Drosophila melanogaster: one gene and its partners. The gene in region 1 interacts genetically with each later gene. Each region holds a gene or a part of one and is shown on either strand. Other genes may lie near its edges.

Region 1 (4,973 bases):
TGTTAACATTTATGTAGTAATACTATTAAAATCTTTTTGCTCAACCTACCCCAATTTTGAGCTGAATGCATCCTCGGCACGAATAGCGTCCACTGTGTGCTCCAGGATGGGAGCTGCCCACTGGTACACCTGATAGGGCGTGGCTACACGCTCGAAGGCATGACGCATGGTGCGTCGCTTCTGGATGGTCTGGAAGGCACGTCGGAACGATGGTGATATGTGGGAAAGCAGATCGATCAGCGAGTGGCTGAGGTGGCTTGGATTGTCGGGCTTGGGATTAAAGGTGTCGTCTGTCGACTGGTTGATGAAGAAGCCCTTGGAACAGGCTGAGATGTGGAATCGTTTATCCTCCATGGTGACAACGTACAGATACATGAGGTCACCATGCAGCTTGCGAGGACCGGGTGGCGGGTTCCAGGCGGATGTAGTCAGTACCTTGAGAGCCTGCGGTCCCTTGGCGTTCTTCACATTTGGATGCAATGGCAGAATTGGCGGATCACTTACACCCGGAGTCACATACTCCGGCGGAGTGCAATCCACGGAGTCCGGTCGCGTCCTCTTCTTGTCCAGCAAATCACCCTGAGTGATCGTGTTTAAGTAGGTCAGCGAAGTACAGTCAATGCCATTGTACGCGTCGGCCGGGTCAAGGTTTTTGAGAAGATCACGGACATGGCGCACATGAATACGGGCCTCCCGCATGGTGTACGGCTCCTCTACCACTTTGATCGTCGAGCCCTGCTCAAGGTTATTGATTGACTTGAGTTCGGCGAAATTGTCGAGCGTCACGTTGTCCAGCTGCAGCGAGAAGCATGTACGATGGCACGTCTCTTCGCGGTCCATCAGCAGCTGGTGGATTTCCTGCACCAGCTCCATGCTGGACAGCTGCACGCAGAGCAGATCGGCGCCGGGACTGCTGATGTTCACCGTGATGCCAATGTCCTGCAGAGCGTCCAGATCAATGTCATCACCATCAGCCTCAGCATCCGGTGCTCCTCCTTCCTGCGGTTTCTCCACATTGGCATTGGTATCGGCATTGTCCTCAACTGCATCCACCACTGTGGGCTTCTCGGCGTGTCCGTTGCTCAGAACGGCTTCGGTTGTGGGTTCAGTTGGGCTTTTGTTGCGGTTCTTCTTGCCTACATGGGGCGATGAAGAAGTAATTTGTTGTTAGTCAATATTGGGAAAGGCATATGGAGCATTGTGTAACCTATTCGATGTATAGGGAGAAACGTGAACTTTGGACCGACTTTTGTTTCCATGTCTCTCAGAAGAATCTTGTATAAATCCGTTATTTATTTATTATGGTTCATTAGTATGTTTTTAAAAACAAAAGATTATTCTTAGGAATTTAAATTTCCAAGCAATGCTGCCAAGTTTATGTTAGAATTTAATGTTTACCATTCTTAATTTATAAATAGTGGTTTATATCTAGTTTAATAATTAAACCTTGATATTATTTGAAAAATGGTGACAGAATTAAAGGTAATGCAAATACGTTACACGTTTCTTTTCTAAAATTGTCTGGCAATATATAATAATTTAAAAAGAGGTGTCTCTACCTCCAGGCTCCGATTTTTACATAACAATACTGTCCGCACACTTTTGTCGCTCAGTTTGTCTGTGTTCGCCGGCAAGCTGTGTGCTTGCATATACATATAAAGGCATATGTACATACATTTACAACAAAACAGTAGAAAAACAAACAGAAAGAGAAAAGCGAGCTGATAAGGCCAAAGGGGCCGGGTTCGTTCGGAGTCCGTACGAACGAACAGTCCACCGAATAATCCAATCTCCTTTCGATCTCTCAGGAAAACGGAATGGGTTTAACACGACCATGCTAATTTCAACAGCCGTATACTAAATTACAGCACTGTGAGATACATAGAGATAGAGCTAGGGAGAGAGAATGAGAGAGGCAAAGAGAGTGGGGAGAGGAGAAAGCAAAAGTGATAAGTACAATGTTCATTAACCGCAAGGAATTCGGAGAGAAGGAGACAAAGTGTAGAGCGATGCGTCTACGGATAGAAAACATGATTTACATAATTGTCGAACAATTTGCGTGTGTTAAGTGCATGCATTTCGGGCCGCGCACGTGTTAATTGTAGGTTAAACGCAACAAGAAATCCGCCCGGGGGGTTAATGAACATTTCGTCGCCGTTGCCGGGTTAATAACATGTGCGTTGCCATGCCAAGAGGAAGAGAAAGAGCGAGAGAGATAGGGAGCCTCACACTTGCAGTTCTCACACACGCACTTAACTCCAATAATACACACACACACATTTACGATTGCAATTGTAACCCACGCGGTTTATGGAGAGAGGGGGAGAGGGAAGGCTCGTAAAAGGGGGTGGAGGGGCAGCCATAGACAACGGGCGCCGCTTTTAAGGCATTATAGGGAAGAAAAAGCCCATTACGTAATGTTAAAAATGTTATGTGATTGGCTTTTGTGGCAAATAATATATTGAGGCAGTTTCCAAGGCAGCAAAGCTAAGAGGAGGTGGTGATGGGTTGGTGTGTGGGTGGGTGGGTGGTTGATTGGTTGGTTGAACATGGGCGTAGGCGGAAAGTTAAACGCACCTTTCTTCTTCGCAGCCGGCCCGTCGGCAGCCGTGCCATTGCCATTGACCAAGTTCTGATTCGAATTCTGCTGATTCGAATTCGGATTCAGGTTCTTTTTGCCGCCGGCCGTGTTGTTGTTCTCCTTGGCCTTGCCGCTGGCCTTTGTTGCTGTTGCTGTTGCATCGCCCGTGGCCGTTGCATTTGAATTCTTCGCCTCCGTTTCAAGCGCCATGCTTTTGTTTCACCTGCTCGCCAAAAACTCAACAAAACCAGCGGAGGAGACACAGAGTTCTAGTTCACGTTTCTTTTTTTTTTGGGCCCGTCCGTCCGTGTTACACAACTCTAACCGCTCGCCGAGCTCGGGGTGATTTCGGTTCGATTTTCAGTGTCTTTCTGGTCGATTGCGAACGTGATTGTTGTTTGGTTAACGATCTCGTACGCATCTATGACAAGTGGGTCTTTGCTAGTTCTGTTCTTTTCAGCACATTACTTATCGAGGATATAAATCGGCCGATTCGCTAGAAAATAACGCGTTATGTTGTTAACGGCTGAGAGTGTGACCACCGGGTGAACATTTAAATATACCGCTGGCATTGGCTTGGTTGCAGTATTTTAATTAGTATTTAGTTATTTGCTGTGTATAATTGCAGATGGACAACAACTAGTGATAGGGATGCACACGCAAAAACGATACCAATATATATGATTGCATTTATTTTAACAACAATTGTGTTCTGTTTAATAAAAGGTAATTTATGCACAATACAAACTTATTTTTATTTAAAACAAATTTTTAAGCCTTTTTATAAAGTGCGTCATATTAGCGTCGTTGAGGAACAGTGAAATTTGTAACATGGGTAGGTTTTTTTTATTTTATTTGAAGGTGAATTTCTATTCAACAATTTTTAAAAATTAATTAATGTAAAGGGCCTGTTTTAAGGATGGGTTGGTTCATAGCTGGACCTACTGTTATGAAATTATCTCAAAAATTGAAATTTTCCTGAAATTCCACCGTTCCGCCATCGCCGCTAACTTATCGACTCTAATTTGACGCATACAATTTTACAGATCAAGCATAGTCCCCGTTAAGTTTTTTTTTTAATTCGGTGTGTATTTTTTACGACTTGTAATACAGCCACACATAAAATACTGTTTTTAACCAAACAAACATGTCGCTTATAAAGAATTTGGTAAAAGAGCCCGAACAGAAGGCAAAGAAAAAGAAAAAGAATGCGGGATCTGGAGAAAGCGATTCCGATGAGAAGGACAAGCCTCTGCGGCCGTTCATCAAAACCGCGACAGATCTACAGAGGCTGAAGCTGGAGAAGCTCATGAAGAATCCGGTATGTGTTTGCATTGGAAAGCTGGGTGGACATTCATATTAATAAACCTTTTATTGCCAGGATAAGCCCGTGGTCATACCGGAGCAGCGTCGCGAACGGGACTTCATGTCCTCGGTGCCCACGTTCGTGCGGAATGTGATGGGAAGCAGTGCTGGAGCGGGTTCCGGCGAGTTCCATGTGTACCGCCACTTGCGACGCAAGGAGTACGCCCGCCAGAAGAACATCCAGAACCAGAGTGCCCGCGAAGCAGCAGATGAAGCTTACCAGCAGAAGTTGGACGACAACAGACGCGCGGCCGAAGAAAAGACTGCTAAGAAACGAGCCAAACGGTTGAAGAGAAAACAGAGGGCGAAAAAGCCGAGAGAGGACAAGAAGCCACTGGCTAAGGAAGCCTCAGAGGATAGTAACACAGATTCCGAGGAAGAGCCCACAGAAGAAAAGGCAGAAAGTAGCCCTGAGGAAGGACAACAGGTGGCATCCAAGGAATCCGACGACAATAACACCCAAGAAACTTCGAATGAAGAGGCAGTGAATTCAAATACAGAAGCGAAAAGCGCAGAGGACACAAATGCAGTGGAATTAGATAGCACCGAAGCTACAAAGGAATCCCAAAATGTGGATCAAGAACAAGACAAGCCTGTGCCTTAGTACCTCCTGTTCTATTCCTATCAATAAACCGTTTAGAGTAATAAAACACAGTGCGGTTTTATTTATAGTACTTTTGTAATATATATATATTAAGCGATTTCTATACATCGCCAGTATCTAGGGGTTTTCATCTGAGGCCATCTTTCTAAAGCAGCTTGGTTGAGAAGAAAGCGTTTTGCGAATTATGCATTGAGTTGTCGTGGCTTTAGTGCGCATTTTGTTTTTTGTTGTCTTACATTTATAAGGTGCATCAAATGTTGCATTTTTGAGTATAATAAATGCTTTCAAAATTTGACATCGCAGGCAATACATTAATTATACCCTTGACAGAAATCCACCATTTTTAGTTCTGGGTATAAACATATTTTTTTCTGGTTTCTTGAAGAAGCAAGTTTTTATTGTTTTCAATAATTAGATTTCTTT
Region 2 (5,925 bases), 6.2 Mb from region 1:
AATCAGAGCTAAAGACGTCGGACTGTACAGCAGAGTTTGGTGGAAAAGAGAGAAAAGCGAGGAGAGCGCTGTTTGCATCATACACCGCAATGAATGAGTGCCCCATAATTGTGACTTTGGGTCTGAGGCGGTTCCGCTGCCCTGCCCCCCGCTCTTCGCTGCTTCCTGCGCCGCGGAAGGCGACGGCCATCTTTATCAGCCACCCCGACTCCCCACTCCTCTTCATCGTCACCCTCATCGTCACAAAAACTGGTTTCCGCTCGCCACTTTCTTTTGCTCTCTGCGCAGGCGCTCTTCGAAGACAAGAGACTTGCAGGCGATTGGTTGAATTCGTTCTGCGTTTCTATGGAGTTTGCTCCCATTCTTTTGGGGGCAGCGACCACGCCCAATGACGCTGCTCTCCTCTCTGCCGACGTCGCTGTCACTCTCTTAAGTACTAAAAAATAAAACTGAAAGTAAAGCTAAATAAAACGCTGCCATAATTGGCATCGTTAATGCCAAAACCATGAATACTAAAAAGTTTTTACGAGCATAAGCTGCGATTGAGCAGTTATTGTAGGGACAGGTTGATGGCCGAGTGTTCTAGGGAAATGAATGAATGAAGATTTTTTCTTACTACCAAAACTTCTACAACTAAGTGAAATAGACGGATTGAGTTCTACATACTTCCTACATATATTTTAGATATAGACATAGCCGAAAAGTATGCTGCACTTTTTCAATAAAAACGTAAGCAGCTACGTTATCACGCATGGCTTCATAGCAGCGATCATCTGCCAGCGAGCATAGCCAAGTTAGGCACCTGCACACATTGCCACTCTTTCCTTTAGCGTTGCCACTTCAATTTCTTTTACAAACCATCGCAGCGTGTAATCGATATTTTCTAAGCCCAATCGATGAATGTCCGGTAACGCACATCACCAATCTGTTTCTGCTGCCTCATCTTTGAATTTGACTAAAAGTGCCGATTTCCAGCTCAACGAATAGTCCAAGTCGCGCCGAATTGTACAATTAAGTTAAAAAGTTCAACGTCAACTAGTTTATCATGGCAGATTCCAAGGGGTAAGTGAACTGGACGCCGAAATAGGCGCCGACTGTGTCGGTCCAAGTCGAAATTCACAAATTTCGCTCAGTCATTGAGCCGAAAAAAATACGCAAGGGCCACATCGCAGACATACTATTATTTAATTGTGAAAGGCTTTCGCCGATTTCCGCGAGACAAAGACATTTACCGCGACTTTTCCACTGCTCGGTTGCAAAATGTTGCGAAACTAGGGCAAACCTAAAAACCGAAGAAAAAAAAACGCCAGCGAGAATCGCCATTTGCAGTACGTTGTTGTTGTTGTTGGTGTTACTGCCCTTGCAGTTGTTGTTGCCGCTTGAAAACTTACGATTTCCCTTTGTTGTCCCAAAAATACAAGTCATCCTTTGCTGGAGGATACAATTTTCCGGTTGTTGTAGTTATAACTTTGGATACGAAAAACAATACTGCATACATATATGGCAGCTATTTCTATAATAAATCGCGAAAATCCTAAACTATATGCCGAAACCACTTATTTCAATGCTACCTATTAGTAATACCTTTTTTGATATTGCATTAATTCTAGAAAAGTCTTTGTGCTCCCTCAACTCGCCAGAAGTAAAAAAAAACATATCGTTTAAGTAACAATAAATGCATAATTTACCTCAAAGTTTAGAAATTATTATAACAAATGGCGCCAAAAAAGTTGGCATCGAATACAAGAAATACAAACATACTTTTATAACTAAAGACAATAAACAATTGTACTATTATTCCGATTAATATAGATTTTTATGAACGATATAGGGTGATAACCTTTTATGTTCAAAAATCTATCAATAAAGATTGATCGACATCATCACGTTAGCAACGAAAAATGATTCGGCAGGCCTAATTATCCAGATGCTTAGTTCCATTCCGTATTACTAGTGAAAGTAGTTTCCATAAATTTATCAAAACTAACAAAAAAGGCAATCCAAAAAAACAAAAAAAAAAACAAAAAAAACAATGTCTGGCGGCAAGAACGATAAGATGGATCATGATGGGGATACGAGGGACTTTATGCGGGGATATCACAGCGAGCAGGATGAGAAAATGAAGCCGAAAGACTCGTTCGATAAGCGGTTAGGCCAAATTATATATAAGACATAAGATATTTCTTTAGCGACGAGTCTTACGCGATGCTTTTTTCTTCTACCCTACAGTGAAGATCTGGCTACGGCGATCCTGAAGCGCAAGGACCGTCCCAACCGACTGATTGTGGAAGAGGCGCAGAATGACGACAACTCTGTGGTGTCGCTATCGCAGGTAAGATTCACTCTCCCAAAGGCCACGTCATCGCATGGCTAATTCACATGACTTGGCTGTTCTTTTTCCCCCTTAAACTATATCAGGCGAAGATGGATGAGCTGCAGCTCTTCCGTGGCGACACCGTGATTCTGAAGGGCAAGCGCCGAAAGGAGACGGTGTGCATCGTGCTCTCGGACGACACCTGTCCCGACGAGAAGATCCGCATGAACCGCGTGGTGCGCAACAACCTGTGCGTCCATCTTTCAGATGTGGTTTCCGTGCAGTCCTGCCCGGACGTCAAGTACGGCAAACGGGTGCGCATCCTGCCCATCGACGAAAGCACCGAAGGCGTTACCGGCAACCTGTTCGAGATCTATCTGAAGCCGTACTTCCTAGAGGCCTATCGGCCAATCCACATGGGCGACAACTTTATTGTGCGCGCCGCCATGCGTCCTATTGAGTTCAAGGTGGTGCTGACCGACCCGGAGCCCTACTGCATCGTAGCTCCCGAGACGGTAATCTTCTGCGACGGTGATCCAATTAAGCGCGAGGAGGAGGAGGAGTCCCTAAACGCCGTTGGCTACGATGATATCGGTGGTTGCCGCAAGCAGCTGGCCCAGATCAAGGAGATGGTTGAGTTGCCTTTGCGGCATCCATCGCTCTTCAAGGCCATTGGTGTGAAGCCACCGCGTGGTATTCTTATGTACGGTCCCCCGGGTACCGGTAAGACCCTGATTGCCAGGGCTGTGGCCAACGAGACCGGAGCCTTTTTCTTCCTGATTAACGGACCGGAGATCATGTCCAAACTGGCCGGAGAGTCGGAATCGAATCTGCGCAAGGCCTTCGAGGAAGCCGAGAAAAACTCGCCGGCTATCATCTTCATCGATGAGATCGACGCTATTGCCCCCAAGCGTGACAAGACCCACGGTGAGGTGGAGCGTCGCATTGTGTCGCAGCTTTTGACCCTGATGGATGGCATGAAGAAGAGCTCCCATCTGATCGTTATGGCTGCTACCAACAGGCCCAACTCCATTGACCCGGCCCTGCGTCGCTTTGGACGTTTTGATCGTGAGATTGACATCGGCATTCCAGATGCCACTGGACGGCTGGAGGTGCTGCGCATTCACACCAAGAACATGAAGCTGCATGATGATGTTGACCTGGAGCAGATTGCTGCCGAATCCCACGGACATGTGGGCGCTGATCTGGCTTCACTCTGCTCTGAGGCTGCCCTTCAGCAAATCCGTGAGAAGATGGACCTCATCGATTTGGAAGACGATAAGATCGATGCCGAGGTGCTGGCGTCGCTGGCCGTGACAATGGAGAACTTCCGCTACGCTATGACCAAGTCCAGTCCATCGGCGCTGCGTGAAACTGTTGTTGAGGTGCCCAACACCACCTGGACAGACATCGGAGGTCTGGAGAGCGTCAAGAAGGAATTGCAGGAGCTGGTGCAATACCCAGTGGAGCATCCGGACAAGTTCTTGAAGTTTGGCATGCAGCCCAGTCGCGGTGTCCTTTTCTACGGACCCCCTGGTTGCGGTAAGACGCTGCTGGCCAAGGCCATTGCCAACGAGTGCCAGGCGAACTTCATCTCAGTCAAGGGTCCCGAACTGCTGACCATGTGGTTCGGCGAGTCTGAGGCCAACGTGCGCGACATCTTCGATAAGGCCCGCTCGGCGGCTCCTTGTGTGCTCTTCTTCGACGAGCTGGACTCGATCGCCAAAGCCCGTGGCGGTAATGTCGGCGATGCTGGCGGCGCCGCTGATCGTGTGATCAATCAGATCCTTACCGAAATGGATGGCATGGGAGCCAAGAAGAATGTGTTCATCATCGGAGCCACCAATCGCCCGGACATTATCGATCCGGCCATCCTCCGTCCGGGCCGTCTGGATCAGTTGATCTATATTCCGCTGCCCGACGACAAATCGCGTGAGGCTATCCTGAAGGCTAACTTGCGCAAGTCGCCGCTGGCCAAGGAAGTAGACCTTACCTACATCGCCAAGGTGACGCAGGGCTTCTCTGGCGCCGATCTGACCGAGATCTGCCAGCGGGCTTGCAAGCTGGCCATCCGACAGGCCATCGAGGCTGAAATTCGTCGCGAGAAGGAGCGCGCCGAAAATCAGAACTCCGCGATGGACGTAAGTCATTTAGCTTAGCGCAAAAAATAAGAATGTTTATGTTTGACTATTTACCCATATAATCAGATGGACGAGGACGATCCAGTGCCGGAGATTACTAGCGCCCACTTCGAGGAGGCCATGAAGTTCGCTCGCCGTTCGGTGTCCGATAATGACATCAGGAAGTACGAGATGTTTGCCCAGACTTTGCAGCAGTCCCGTGGATTCGGACAGAACTTCAGGTGAGAATTGAAAGGCATTTCTTGTTGGAATCCAGGTTACTGATGATAGTGTATATGTTATTGCAGATTCCCCGGTCAAACCGGCAACACCTCAGGATCTGGTAACAACTTGCCAGTTAACTCGCCCGGCGACAACGGCGACGATGATCTTTACAGTTAGATTTCTAGTTTTACACCGCAAAACAAAACCACAAAATGGAACTTTTTAAATGAATTTTTTCCGTAAAACCGAGCAAGCAAAACCAATCACATTCGCATCCTGGACGCGGTAACTTACTACAGCAACCATTGGCTAAGACATCCAGCCGATGGCGAAATCAGATGACATACCCGATTCAATATTCACTTCTTTGATACCATCCTTACTCTTGGTCGCGGATACGTGCAGTAGGAGAAGGTTCCCATTTGGATTTGGGCTCGCCTAATCCGAAACCATTTTAATTGGCGAACTATTCCGCGCCTCACACTAATCATTCGTGCATTGTCGGTAGAGTGGCTCCGATATATGAGTTTCTATAAACATAATTATTAACGATACACATACACACATACATTTAAAGATAAATACATATATTAAACACCGTAAAATTATAAGTGTATTTGGAGCTACATTTTTAAGTGAATAAAAATTATAAATTCAACAAAATCATGTGCTTTAAATTGAAGAAATATTGAAAAATAGACGCAACGAGGTAATTGGGTGTTGAGATTAAAGAGCAAGAGTTACATAATCAATTATTTATTTTTGATAAGGTTCACTAGCAAAGTGGAACGTTGCTTTATTTTAACTGATCATTGGCCACAGTGCAATAAAATGCGTAATAAATTAAATTGGTCGGTACTCGTATGAGTGCAGTGAAAAAATATGTCTTCGTGCCTCGATTTCTGCAAGTCCAATTTAGTCATCAAGAGTACTAACCAAATCCATACTGTTCCCATTTGAAAATATCATTTCATTTGTTTTATCGCATTTATTAAACTTGTATTAATTCGTCATGTTTGCTTTTTCTGGTTTTCAATTGTTTTTTCACTTTTATTTTTATTAATTCTTTGCGACATAACAAGGACATCTTAATATGAAGTTAGTTGAATTCTTTCATATTTAAATAATCATTATCGCTTCGGTCTTATAAATAAACTTTCTTTGCCATTCTTTTAACCGCTCGTTAATTAAATCAATGTTTTGGCATCGGTAAATGATAATAAGGGAAATAATATTAATAATAATGTTAATGGCAAAAGCAGGAAA
Region 3 (6,414 bases), on another chromosome or scaffold:
CCAGAACGACCTAATAGACGTGCTGATGAAGTACATATATCGGGGATTCGAGATCCCCTCGGAGGGCTCCAGTGGCCACCTGCTGCAGTGGCATGAGAAGGCCTTCGCCAAGGGAGGAGTGGGCTGCATTGTCCGCGTGCTGTCCGACACAAATCGCGCCTAGAGGAGATCAGCACAGCCAAAGGCGGTCATAGAGTCACTACCCCAACTGTTCCCTGCCCCATAAACCGATTCATACGCATCGCGGAGCATTTAATCAACACAGGATTGGAGCACTGGACACCACATCCTTATCTTCGGGATTTGCCACGCCCCAGCTGGAACCCACTTCTGTTTCTTCGCCGCAATACAAATGACGTTTTCCAAATTAGATTTTAACTGGTATCCAAGTATTAAAGTTTTTATTACGAAAGGTGAGTGGCAGTGATTTCAATCAGGGGAACGAACGTACTTCTAGTTCACTCAAGCCACACCTACATGTAACATAATTTGTAAGAAAAATTTTGTTTTTAGTAAGGCTAAGCAATTGCTACGCATCTCAAAACTCAGGAAGATTCAACTCCTATCAGATTTAAACACTTATTAATCTTCAGACTGAGCCTAGCAACTTTACGAACATAATGGCTTATCTAATCGAAATTCCAGGTGTATCATTCAACATGATGACGTTGCCTTCGTAAACTTTTAGCTGCCGTGACAGAAAACACATCTACTATGTTTGAATCAACCTTTTCTGCTTTATTTGACTATTCAATGTGTAATAAGTGCTTTGAGTAACCTAATCAAACCAATCACGGCGTCTACAACTTCTTATTAATTTAAAAAGCGGAGAGGCTCGATGATAGACAAATGCCAGGCGAATAGAAATGCGAGTTGGCTAAATGAAAGGCCCAGAATTTGGGGGTCGCATGCAATTTGATGATATTTCAGTGCTCGGTAGGGGGAACATTTAACAAAGGAGTTCGTTCTCTTTGAACGCGTCTTCAATAAATAGTTTTTATGTTGCTTATATGCGGGGATTATTAAGTCGAAACGGGTTGCTCCAATCGCTGACCAGCCTACCACATGTGGGTCTCGCGGATTTCGCTGATGATGTGATTCGCTCGCGTCAGTGCCTGAAATCAAAAGTAAGTTTAAAACGATGTCAAGCTAAGTATAAGCTAGCCAAGCGCACCTTCAGCATATCTGCCGCCTCTTTTCGGCGCACTGCAATGTGATCGGACTCGTTGAGCAGGGTTTCAGCCTTATCCGACTTATACAGATGTGTAACCAATTCGCTCTGCAAGTTGTCCTTAACGTAGTTAACCAAGAAATGCATGATGGCCTTTGGAACCGAGTCTTGTATGGATTTGCGCACAATGTAGAAATACGATTTGATCAGGTGTTCTAAAAACAAAAAGTAGTCAGATTGAGTTAGGTCTTTAAGTGGCCCGAGTTAAGTGCAACCCACCGATGACATCGCAATCCTTCTGCTCCTTGTCAGTGAGGCGACGTGGATTGTGGTTGGCCGGCACATCGGGCAGCAGATTGACCGGCTTCACTGGACTCACGATGTTATTGTGAACCGGAGTGTTGTTGGTCGAGTTCTCAATGCTGTCCGGACGCGTTGGTGCCGGCGGTAAAATGTTTGACAGCCATGTGCTGGCCATCGAAGGCGTCGAGTTCTCGGCGACGTGGTTCTAGAGAGCGAAACGAAAATGGGTTAAATAGGTTGCATACATAAATGAAGATTCCGCTGGCACCTGCTCATGCACTTGGCTATATTGCTGCTGTGAGGAATTCGGCTGCGGCGGCTGTTGCTGCTGCGGCTGCTGTGAACCAGCACTGTGCGACGAAATCTGAGGCGACATGTGGTTTCGCGGTGTATTGGCCCGCCGCTGCCCCAGATTTATCTGTGAGTAGGGATCGCTGTCCGTTTTCAGCAGACTGGGCACCAAAGCGGCATCCTTGTGGAAGTCGGGGTGCTTGGTGTTGATGTAGGCCAGCTCGATGGCCACAATGTTCTCCACCATCACGTTGGTGTGCGGCAGACGTCGACGCAGCAGCTGGGTGACCACGTCCACAATCTTCTCGTGCAGTTTGGGAAAGCTGTAGGGGAGATCGATGAAAACCTTTGGCGTTCAGCTATCATGAGTTCACATACCGCAGCATCTCCTGCTGCACTTCGTTGCCACAATGCTGAACAATGCGCTGCATCTCCTCGTGAATGAGTTCCACGCAGCGCAAGGAGGGTTCCTCCAGGCGGCGAATCTGGCGCTTCACTAGCAGTTCGAACGAGACCTCCGGAACGAACAAAGCCGGGCGTGGACCAGTGGCATTCCGGATGGCTGTCAGTATGTCCATCTTGCTCAGACCCGCCAGCGGGTGAATGGAGTCCAGGGTGCGGCCGAAGGTCTCGTGGAAAATGTAGCCCATCCGGGCACCGCCGCACAGTTCCGTGGTCTCGATATTCCTGGCCGTGCCCTCGATTGTGCAGCAGTAGGCGCTGGAGAACTTCGTGATGATCTGCAGCAGGGTCTGGCTCTTGTCGGAGACATCCTCGCCATAGGAGTTCAGCAGCGATTGGAATTGCGTGGCCATGATGTTGACGCGAGTCTGCAAGAATATGGGAAGTCATTCTCTTGAATTCAACATGCTATTCTAACCTTATCTGCCATTAATCTTCTCTTGCTTTACCATAGAAAAATATAAAGATCGATTATAATCGAGTGCCAAGTTTGTTTCATTTTTTTACATTTTCTTGAAGTTTTAGCCTGAGATTCTCGCATAGTTTGTGAAATCGATATGCAGTCTTTATAGACTAGACTCACCTTAAGATCTGGCAGGCAGTCCCGGATGTGGTGCATCAGGAGCCGGTTGAGGGTCTTGGCCAAGTAGGGCGTGCCGTTCCGGGTGGCCAGAGTGGGATACTTGCGCTGCAGGAAGGCGGCCTCGTCCTTCATCTGATCGTCGATGTGCTTTTGGTCCATGATGTCCTTCTGCGAGCGATTCATAACGCCGATGATGCCCAGCTTGACGGGAATGACCCGGCCGCACAGGATGTCGATGGCATCGGTGCCGGCATCCATGAGATCCAGTTTCGTGACCACGGCCAGAGTGCGCCGGCCATCGGGGTCCACGTCCTTGGCCAGCTTGAGTGCCTCACTGGTGGCCATGTCCGTGTTGGCGGCCGTCACAGCCAAAATGATGGAGTTCGGGTTCTCAATGTACTTGAGGACCAATTCTTTGATCTGCGCCTCGATATCCTCCGGCTGATCGCCCACCGGGACCTTGGTGATGCCGGGCAGATCCACCAGCGTTAGGTTGACCACGTGCGTTGAGAATATCTTCAGGTTGATGGGCTCCGGGCAGATGCCCTTGTTGCTGCCCGCCGCCCGCTCCGTTTCGTTTTCGATCTCCTTGCGGATCTCGTCAAAGTCCGTGAAGCACTTCTTGGTGTGCAGGAAGCGGCCCCACTCCTCGGCATTGGACGTACCTAAGTGTTATGTGGTTTAGCAATTGGGTTTTCCCGAACTTCTGACGTCTCAACTCACCATTTTCCGCCGAGCGATTCTCGCGATCATCGAGTGGGCTGTAGATCAGCTGGAGCACCAGTGGGCGACGGGTCACAATACCAGTTCCACGGGGCAGAAAGGATCGTCCCACAACGCTCTCGATCACCGAACTCTTGCCGGAGCTCTGGAAAAAAGGGGAAATGTATGTATTACTGGGAGTTAAAACGACGGCTGATAAAAGACGATGACCTGATAAGGTGGCTCCCAAGCGTTTGCAGCGAGGAAACACTTGGAAAACCGCAGATTAACTATTCTTATCTGGCAATGGGAGCCATTCTGTGATTGCAAATTTCTCAAACTTAAGCCTTTGCAACAGAAAACCAAATGAATGGTAAGAAATGGCACAGATTCAACATATTGGAGCTCCGCTGTACTCGGTATCAATGAGTTGCGCGAGCATTTAGTCATACTGACTTAATTCCAGAGCGTGAATCAAAGTGCAATTAAGCCAGCGATCGAAACATGCACACATATATGTACATACAGACACAACTATCGAAGTCACACATGTGTACGTTTGTTTTTTGCAGTGTGTTCGTGGGGGAATGTGTCACATCAGCCAGCAGCTGTTTTTTTTTTCGTTTTTGTATAATACTGTGGCATATTGATTTTCCATGGCGGCGGCGAGCAGTGCCAAAAATAATTATATAAACAATGGGGACGCCGCGAAGAGCGAAAGCTGGCTGAAATGTTGCTACAAACTGAAAACACAACTAAAATGCCGGCAAACGCACTCAGTTATATAATTTTGCGGTCACTGGAAAAGCGCAAGAGTTGGGGTTTCAGATAGCTGCGCCATATTCCGGTTCTCAGTTGCCACTCCTTTTACGGAGCTCGGGGATTTATGGTTTTCGGTGTGCGGATTTTTGGGCACCTCGCAGTTTGCATTTACCTGACTGCCTAGAACAACAATTTGGGGCAATTGGATGGAGTCGGAGCCCACGGTGTTGAAGACGTCCTGCAGCTTGTTTATGACCGGAATTAGGGCCTCCATTCTGAGTGTGTGTGTGTGCTGGGTTCCTTTGGTCGCGTTCCACTCGGCTGGCGATTAATTCGCGCACATAAAGGCCGTTCTTTTCGGCTTTTTCTGATTGACGCGAGCACCGAAATTATTTTTGCAAACCGCCAGTGTTGCACAGCAAATTTAGACTGTTTTTCTAGCGGTGTTGCCACACGGGCGGAACTTGCTGCTATCGGCAGTCCCTAGACGAGGTTGCCACCGTGCGCGAGAGTGCTGCCAATCTATTCCAAAAGGGCAGCTTTCTGTGCGCGCCAAAATTGAATTTTTGGGTGTTTCCAATTTTGCCCGTTAGTTGCGTGTATTGAATACTTTACACAAATAAAGAAAGGTATGATTTCATAACATTACTTAAAATCCCCCAATAGCTACAAAATATGAATGTCCTTTTCTTTTTGTTTTGTTTCATATTTTGCCTTTTTACTTATTTTATATGCACATGAGGAGTTTGTATTGATATGGACCAAACAAAAGGGGTCCTTACAAACCAATCTGAAAACTCACACACCACAATCTAAATCTGGCAGAATCTCAATATATTCATCGTATCTAACTAAATTGAAAAACTACACAGAGTAGGCGCATTTCTGAATACCCTTACAGACATAACAGTGAAAATGAATATATAGCATAAATATATTGTCTTTGATTTTGTCTAATTTCTGCAGAAATAAAGGACTATTTAAACGAAGAAATATTAAAGTTGGAGCAGCCGCCAAGTGGTCAGACCACGTGGCCCAAAATAGGGAAAAGGAATAATCTGGGGACCGGCCTCAAGTGCTCGAGATTTGCATGGGCGGTTGGGATGGGGACTTCCCCGGTTTTATATAAGAATTGCAGGGCAGTGAGCTGTGCCCCAAAACCAAAAAGGGGGCTACCCGACTATTTCTCGACCACACTCGATTGCCTGCCTGGCATGCATTGTGGGCGAAATGCCGGGCTCATCTGTCGTTTTTATCGGTTTATTTCAATGTTCGAGGATGCTTGTCGCCCGGTACACTAAGCATTCAAATTTCGATAGTGGCCTGGCCCAAATGGACCAGAATATTGGACGTACATATGTATGTACCACATCCATGTGCATAGAAGCCCCCACTCACGTATGCATCATGTGTCCTATTTGATAACAGTTCCCATTGTTGTTTGGCCAGCTCCTCCTGGCTGCTCCCAATTGAAAATGACAATGAAAATTGTTACAAGTTGGCTGATATCATTTTGCAATGCTCGCTTATCTCTTTAATGGCTTCCAAGCGATTTGAATATGCTTGGGATGATTTAAGATGACTTATTATTTACAATCCCATTGAAGTATCGAATTGTTTGAGTTTATTGTTCCGATCGCAGGATGGTAATATCGATTATAAGTAGTTTCAAAATTTAATCATTCCACTTCAAAATTAGTTACGCCATCCATGAAACTTTGATCATTCAAGTTTGGGATACTGACTAATCTCATTTCTTGCCCCATTATTATACATTCTGGCATTTTTCGAACTGCAAGTGGGCTTCTTTAGCATTTTCATAGATAAACTTTCGGCTTCCAATTAACAAATTTGGCTGGCAACTTTGCCAGCACACCTCTGCTGTATCTGTGTGTTTGAGTGTGTATAAATATTTCAAAATTTCCCCCATCAAATTGGCATTGTTGGACCGGGGAACTTTCGTATCTCTGGCTTGACAACTTGCCGAAATGTGCGGCGTGGAAAACTTCTTGAGTTTGAGTTGACAGTTATTGCGAAAGACGGGCGGGGGTGATGGTGATGGGGCACGCCCCCTTCTCGGGGCCGGAATATTAATTTGATAATTTCACGGCTGAATGCAAATTCGGTGTCAGGGTCCTTG

Evidence for each region.
Region 2: of clu (region 1) and TER94, changing one suppresses a phenotype caused by changing the other (phenotypic suppression), as found in Drosophila melanogaster (one study listed by BioGRID).
Region 3: of clu (region 1) and Drp1, changing one suppresses a phenotype caused by changing the other (phenotypic suppression), as found in Drosophila melanogaster (one study listed by BioGRID).

Annotation. Positions count from the first base shown.
Region 1 is NT_033778.4:16,184,741-16,189,713, reverse strand, and holds the start of clu (clueless), read right to left. Parts: upstream 3,131-4,973; 5' UTR 2,792-3,130; coding exon 2,578-2,791; intron 1,826-2,577; exon of another isoform or gene 1,560-1,825; intron 1,137-1,559; coding exon 50-1,136; intron 1-49. Other genes in the region: CG8441 (uncharacterized protein), read left to right, coding at 3,729-3,902, 3,963-4,550. UniProt on the Drosophila melanogaster protein: mRNA-binding protein involved in proper cytoplasmic distribution of mitochondria.
Region 2 is NT_033778.4:9,988,242-9,994,166, forward strand, and holds TER94 (transitional endoplasmic reticulum 94), read left to right. Parts: upstream 1-1,961; 5' UTR 1,962-2,056; coding exon 2,057-2,148; intron 2,149-2,229; coding exon 2,230-2,332; intron 2,333-2,418; coding exon 2,419-4,455; intron 4,456-4,521; coding exon 4,522-4,676; intron 4,677-4,742; coding exon 4,743-4,836; 3' UTR 4,837-5,318; downstream 5,319-5,925.
Region 3 is NT_033779.5:2,580,724-2,587,137, forward strand, and holds Drp1 (dynamin related protein 1), read right to left. Parts: upstream 4,708-6,414; 5' UTR 4,549-4,707; coding exon 4,447-4,548; intron 3,679-4,446; coding exon 3,534-3,678; intron 3,476-3,533; coding exon 2,811-3,475; intron 2,596-2,810; coding exon 2,144-2,595; intron 2,089-2,143; coding exon 1,743-2,088; intron 1,680-1,742; coding exon 1,451-1,679; intron 1,387-1,450; coding exon 1,175-1,386; intron 1,116-1,174; coding exon 1,059-1,115; 3' UTR 558-1,058; downstream 1-557. Other genes in the region: Arpc5 (Actin-related protein 2/3 complex, subunit 5), read left to right, coding at 1-163.